Coturnix japonica: one gene and its partner. The protein of the gene in region 2 purifies or fractionates together with the protein of the main gene of each other region. This does not show direct contact. Links are inferred from orthologs where the notes say so. Each region holds a gene or a part of one and is shown on either strand. Other genes may lie near its edges.

Region 1 (3,679 bases), on a different chromosome or scaffold from region 2:
CGCACGTGGGAGATGGGGAAGGACTTATCATAGCAGACATTCTCACAACCAGGCTGTTGAGTATTGCACCGAAAAGCAGACTGTTCATCTCCCCAAGCAGACTCGACTGCTGTCCCCAATAGAAGGATTCGGAAAATAAAGAGGACAGACAGCCATACTTTTCCTCCTGCAGTAGAATACGCTTGAACCTTGTCAAGAAGTTTTCCCAGGGCACTCCAATCACCCATCTTCACGGGATAGTGGCTACAGAAAGAAACAAAGAAAAAGAAAAACAACTGATGGTTAAGACAGATGTTTAATACTTCTGATGAGCTGAATCACACACAGATCAATGCTAACAGTATAGTGGTGTCAGCTTTGTTTTAATTCATTCACTTCACTTAGTCTGCAGGTTGAGTGGGCTGTACAGTAAAGATGAACATTTTATGATGTCTCCGAACACAGTGAAAGACAGAAGTTCCTAATTTCTGTCATATTTTCAAGAAATCCATGGAAACCCCTGTTTGCCACTGTGGTTGGCTAAAACCAGCTTCCCTGATGGCAGCTTCAGTTCAATGACTGACATCTGCTGCAGGCAGAAAACGGCTGTGACACACCGCTGAAGCAGGATGTGGAAGCGTTTGGTAGCACTGTCTGAATATGCTAAGAATAAATGAAAGATTCCTCTCTTTTCAGTGCGTCTCATCCACAGTTATCTATATATTCATTCTTAAAAAGAGCAGGAAAGCAAAACATAATAAAATTTACATTAAAAATGTACTGAATTAGTGTTAGGGTCAGAGACCTAACATTTCATCATTACAAATGCACACTACATTTCCCATGGCAATATTAAACTGAGCTGTCACACACATCAGTACACTGTGCATGATTTATCTGAGTATAGTTGCTATGATGCAAAGTTCTGACTGTACTTCGCTTCAGAAAAAAATCTTGTTTTCTAAATTAAGTTTATAACTAAGTATTTGCAGCACAAAGATCAATATTGGTACTCTTCACCTACATTTTTATACAGGAACCAAAAATACTAAAAGCATCAGGTGCAGCTAAGCTTATGTTACCATATTGGAAGAACTGGTTTCCTGGCTATTTGTGGCTTGTTTGATTTACTGTAGTTTCAACTCCTCATTTGCATCTTTTTAGATTTAAACTCCTTCACTTCACTTTAAAAAGAAAAAGGATTTACCCAGGAAGGAAAGACAAGAGAGCACTTTCTAAGGCAGCTCCTAGTGGGTGATTTGCACTACAAGTGTAGAGCACTGCAAGTTTAAATTGTCTCTCTCAACTTGAGTTTAAAGTGCATGTTTCTGGGAAATGCACCACTTCTCAGGGATATCTGGAAATACATGAGGGGACAAGTGAAATATTCTACTCGATGTTCTATATTCCTAGGAAAAACAAAGCTTCACACATAGCTTTTATCAAGTGGAGAATGGTAACCACTTCTGCTAAAAATCTTACATTTTAACTTGTCCCGCATAAGTGAGCATGTGAAATTGCACACCTACAAGAAAAAATAAGCAAATCTTCCCTTTTGAAGTAGATGCTGCTGGGCAGACACATTTGTACCATGCACGCTGAGTAATCTCTTTCCTGTATTAATAGTTCTGATACTGTTCAAATGGTTTCCTTCCCGTCATGGATATCATGGATATATTCCCCAGTGAAGGTTATTTATAGAAAACAAACAAACAACAACAACAAAAACACCTCTGGATAATTCATAAAATAGGAAATTTTAGTACCAAGGAGATTTTCTTTCACAGAGTGGTGACTCACTGGAAACAGAAGATTATAAATTTGGCATACTCAATCATAACAATATATGCTATGCCAAATTAAAAAAAAACTGTCGCTTTTGCTATCAGAAAGAGTCAGAGAATAACGAGAGCCAAGTGTTTAAAGTACTTGATCCGACGGCTTGGAGATGCCAATTATTTTTGAACGCCTGCAAAATATCCCAGAGCCGGTTCCACAGCCCTCCTGGTCAGATCGCTCTGAAGTGCAGAGGAAGTTTACCTACTGGGGTGTACAGACCCTTCCTCACATAATTAGTTCTTCACATGAATGAAGTCCCATCAAAGGATCAGGCCCTCTTCAAACTTTTAAATCTAGAGGCCTTGCTGGGAGGGACACACAGCATGTTTCTCTCCAAAGGTATCCTTTCAGGACAGATCATTTCCAGGTTTAGTCATTCCCAGGAAAAGATTAGTTTGTCTTTATTGGTTCAGATTGGTAGGAAAGGCGTCAGCACAGGAGCACAGAGGGCTGTGCAAAGGCAGGAATGCAATGTAACTGCGTCCCTCCTCATGCTGAGACTGTTAAAACAGAGAACAGTCTGTAACTATACGGCATGCGAAGTTTGTTTCTCCATGTCCTAGAAGTGGAAGTGGACAGAAGGAGCCTTTTTCAAGTAACAGCTTCTTGATTTAATTAGTCAGCTTTCAGATGATTTGAAACTACCGCATTAACAGAGTTTCCTCAGACTCGAGTGTACTTTTTTACTGTCTAAATGTTATTTCAGATTGAAAGTTTGATTAAGAAAACAGGGGACATGTTATTTCTAGGCAGTTATATGTTGTTTGTTTTTTAATTACACTCCACTCTGCTCCATTACTATAACATGATTTACTTCAGTCTTGACCTACCTAATCCCACACCTGCAATATTTTGAGAATTTACTACTTATTTTTTAATTTACCTCAGCATGCAAAATTGCTAAGTTTCATTTATATCCTCTGGCAATATTAACTCCAGGAGGAAACATTCCACGCTTGAATTACTCATACATAGTTTTGAAAAGGAACTTTTTAAAAAGAGATCGGTTACACGCTAGCCTTTGCCAGTGATAAAAACCCCACGTCAATTCAAAACATTGTGCTTTTAATCAGATAATCTTGTGGTGGCACAAATATATTATTCCTTCACTTAGGTGGATTGTTTTGCTTTATGAAACACAGTACTTTGTTTTGTTTCAGGGAAAACTCATTCATAGTATATAACTTGTTCACTTTCCAGACACTGAAAGACCATTTTAATTAACTGATTCCAATGTATGTTTACTAGGTATAAGAAGTGCTTTTGCATCTAACAAGTATTTAAGTGTTTTAGCTAGTAAATAGTATGAAATTGATGGAAGATTACAGTAAAAAAATTCAGCATCTAGACTTCTTTTAACAATCAAACTTCTTTCAACAGTTCCGCTGAATAGCACAGCTTGATCTGAGGGGCTGGTGCAATTTCAGTAGTTCAGGAATTTTAGGATATGGCTGATGATGCATACACACATTTCATGAGTTCTTACTGATTATTACTTCAAAAAGGTTTTTCTGGGGGGGGAGAGGGGGGTGGGAAGACGACGACTAATGCAGGCCTATTAAACTTTTTAAAAAGATGGATTTCTTCCAGATTCTACTGTGTGCGGGTAAAGACAGGAAAAAACAACACAGAACAGCAGGAGATATTACAGCATTAATCTACATGGGTTTGGATGATCACATATAGAAGATATTTGAATTGTAAGCCACAATTAAGAAATTTGAGAACTATTTTTTATGGACAGCATTCACCATGCCATCTGGTTCATATTTTCCATGAAGAATAATGCAAACTCAGTGTTGTGGTAACATGTCCAGGTCTGACTGCAGGGTTAGAAGGTCACATACTATTGGATGGAAGA
Region 2 (3,626 bases):
ACAGTGACATCTTCCCCACCCTGAGCTGTGGATGGTGCTGTGGGGGCATTGCCCCCATTCTGGACCCCAGTTGTGTCATTGCAGCACAATAAAACTGGTGTTTTTTAACTTATTTGTTGTTGAACAGTCGTTCTGTGCGCGGCCATGGAGGGGCAATCCAGGATCCCGTGGTTCAGGGACACCCCCTAACAAGAAGTCTCTGGAGGTCCCTTCCAACCCCTACAGCTCTGTGATAGGTTGTGATTTCAGCACCTATATATATATATATACAGTATTCATCATTCGCATTCACCTACTGAGCACATCAGTGAGAGCTCATCAGAGGGTGAGTGATAAAGAGCATGGGATGAAGGCACTGAGTGCTGGTGGGGTTGGCGCTGTGCTGCAAGGACACGGGGTGGTGGAACAAATAGAAGCCTGGAGCCCCATGGAGCACAGCCTGGGACAGGGCCCACACTGCCCCATCTGCAGCCCCAGCTCCGCACTGCAGCGCTGCTCCCCCCACCCCACGCACTTTGTTCTGCAGCTGCACGGAGCTCTGCTGCCATCTCTTCCCTCTCTCTGCCCCATCCCCCCCTACTGAAAAAAGGGAAGAATTACGTTAAATGTGGGATTGCAGCGCTGTGGCAAAGGGAAGGAGGAATGGAGAGGTGGGGGGCTGCACCAACAGCCGCCCTCTGCCCCATTCATCAGGAGTTAATGAGGAGAATTCAATCAAGGACGACACAGGAGCCGCAGGGAGACGGATGGTTGTGCGCATTTATTATTGTTGTTTTCTCGTTGATAAACCTGGTCTGCAGATCTCGAGGCCCCGGAGGCCCTGGGGAAAGCGCGGCCCTGTTGGTCCTCCACGGAACGCAGCATCAAATGCACCACAACGGGGGAGCAATGAGGGCGGCTCCGGGCTGGGCAGCACAAACACTTTGCAGTGGAGAGATCGGATCTTTCCCTCCTGTTTTTACAGATATTGAACCCGCAGAGCAGAAAAGCACCGAACACAAAGAGCTGCTGCCCCAGCGCTGCCTTCAGCTCAGCTTCCACAACAAACCCCAGCCCTGAAGGCCGCCGGGGCTCCGTGACGCCATCCCAACTGCGCCACGAGACCCCAGGTCAGGCGTGGTTTGCATGCAGCCCATCCCCGCGGTGGGAGACGGCAGCCCCCCACGTGCCGAGGGCCCCATTCGTCCCATGGAATCATTAAGACAAACGACATGAGAGATTTCCAGGTCGCTGCGGTTTTTTCTTTCGCTCTATTATCCCCAAGAAGATGCCGGGAGAAAGAACCGGAAACCAAAGTTGGCTCAAGTTTTAAATATTTGCCTGAAAGGAGGGCGAAGGGAGGGAATCATGTACAGTTAAAATCAAGCTACTCAAAACACAATCATTCAGGTAAATAACTAGGAGTATCGCCTCTACCATCTAGAGAGAGAGAGAGAATGTCTGGAACAGAGGGAATATTGAGGAAAAAATACACATCTGAAGTCTCTGTGGCCACGATGAGAACTGGAATCCACATACAAGCCAGTTAAAGAGCATTTCAACATGAAATCTTAACTTAGTAGGAAGGTCGGGGGTTAAGCTGTATCTTTTTTTTGTTTTAAATACATGACAGCTGTCAGATATGAAAATGACGGCGGGCTTTCCTGAAAGATCCCCCTGCGCATGTGAATGGATGCTGTGCTGACATCTGCGGGGCGGCGTGACGGGAGCTTAGGAAGGCTGGGAGCCCAGCAGTCTCTCAATAGCTGCGTTGATGTCCCCGCCCGTGGCAATAAGAGCCTGCAGGTTGGCCTCGCGGTTAATGAAGCCCATGGCATTCAGCTGCTCCAGCTGCTGTTGGAATCGCACTTCAGGACTCTGCGCCTGCAGAGGGAAAGGACAAAGACCTCAGCGGCACAGAGCGCAGCTGGGAGAACAGCAGAGTGGGGACTGACATTGTTGAGCCAAGGGAAGCTGCAGAACCACGGCCAGAAACAACCCCAAGATCACCCCAGAGAGGTGCCCAAGAAGCCCAGCAGCAGGTAAATGGGCATCCAGGACTTGGGGGGAGCTCATACATTGGAGGGAGAGCGATCTTTGTGTGTGCATCCGGTGACGGGACAAGGAACGGCTTTCAAATAAAGAAGGGGAGATTTCAATTGGATTTTAGGTGGAAATTCTTTACTCAGAGGGCACTGGGGCTGTGGTAGCGCTGCCCAGAGCTGTGGGTGCCCCATCCCTGGAGGTGCCTGAGGCTGCAGATGGGCCCTGGGCTGGGGTGTGCAGTAAGCCCACAGCATGAGCATTGGAAGTGAATGATCTTTGAGGTCCCTTCCAACTTAAGGCATTCTATGACTCCATGATTACATACTTGAGAGCTTCCTCCAGCCAGCAGCTGGATCATCTGCTGCATGAGCTGCTGTTGGGGGTTACCACCCCCAGCTGGAGAGGCACTGGCCGGCGTCGAAGCGGAGGGAACGGGGTTCTCCGGGATTGTGCTTCCTCCTGTGGAGGACGGGGGCATTCGAGGCATGCCAAAGGAGCCGAGGCTGCAGAGGAAGGCAGGGTTTGCTCAGAGCTGAGCCGGCACTTCTGGCTGTCCCCTGCCTGTCTTGCGAGAGCGAGGTGGCACGGGGAGCCAGCAGGCTCGGCCAGGCTGGCCATGCTCCATGACTGGCTGCGCTCACATCCCACCCACAGCAAAACTGGGAGCAAACCATCCTAATACAGGCACAGCCTGAGAAATCTGCAGAGGCTGAACGTGACCCACACTGACAGAGAGCAGAGGGTCGAGAGCACCCAGCAGCACAATGTGCCCTAACTTACCCACCCAGCCCCACGGTGCACATCCCTAGAGGTAAAACTGAGTTCACCCGACACTTAAACACCTCAAACAAAAGGCAGAGGAGGGACTAAATGGTTCCCAAATCTTTATCCCCAAAGGAAAAGGTCAAGGACTTCCCGCACGAAGTGCAAACAAACAAAGTGCCCATCAGCTGGAGCCCACAGAGCCCTGCAGACACACACAGCATCCCCCGAGCAGATCTGGTTGGTGAGTGGGCAGCCAGGCTGCCATCAAGCACGCCAGCTCTGCCCGCAGCATCCTGCCCTGAGGAACGCTCCTTACCTTGGCACGAGTCCTGGGGCCTCCGTTTGCAGCGTCTGGAGTCCCTGCTGGATCTGGAGGAGCGCCTGCATGGCGCGGGGGTTGGTGAGAATGGACAGGGAGTCTGGGTTCTGCATCTGGGAAGGAAGGAGAGACACAGCGGTGGTGAACAGTGAGAGCTCGTGCAGGCAGTGCTCCACCAGCTGGCAGTCTGAACAGCCACAGCCAACCCACGGGTCTGGGCTCTCCTTCCTGTCCCTGCACCACCGGGCTCATCTGCGCAGACACACTCCAAGAGATCAGATTTCCTACATAAAGTAGGAGAATCAGATTAGGACGGGGCACACGTGCCTCCAGAATTAAAGCCGTTTTCATCCACTTGAGTGAAGCAGCTGCTCAAGCACAATTAGCCAGTCTAATTTTTGTAAACTCATTACTGGGAGAGAGCGTCCACACAGGGGTTTCATGCAGCTGAACTCATCATCATTTCAAGTCAGCCTTGAGGTAATTTACATTACCTCATTTACACTGCCTTGTCCAA

What was found.
Region 1: the proteins of UBQLN4 (region 2) and GJA1 purify together in Homo sapiens (affinity purification with western blotting; 3 studies listed by BioGRID). This does not show direct contact. The link is inferred for Coturnix japonica from reciprocal best matches to the Homo sapiens genes UBQLN4 and GJA1.

What each region holds. Positions count from the first base shown.
Region 1 is NC_029518.1:56,148,572-56,152,250, forward strand, and holds part of GJA1 (gap junction alpha-1 protein), read right to left. Parts: intron 244-3,679; 5' UTR 228-243; coding exon 1-227. UniProt on the Homo sapiens protein: Gap junction protein that acts as a regulator of bladder capacity. A gap junction consists of a cluster of closely packed pairs of transmembrane channels, the connexons, through which materials of low MW diffuse from one cell to a neighboring cell.
Region 2 is NC_029540.1:70,908-74,533, forward strand, and holds the end of UBQLN4 (ubiquilin-4), read right to left. Parts: intron 3,223-3,626; coding exon 3,107-3,222; intron 2,529-3,106; coding exon 2,351-2,528; intron 1,864-2,350; coding exon 1,711-1,863; 3' UTR 1,060-1,710; coding exon of another isoform or gene 965-1,059; 3' UTR 742-964; downstream 1-741. Other genes in the region: cytochrome b5 domain-containing protein 1, read left to right, coding at 965-1,059. UniProt on the Homo sapiens protein: Regulator of protein degradation that mediates the proteasomal targeting of misfolded, mislocalized or accumulated proteins.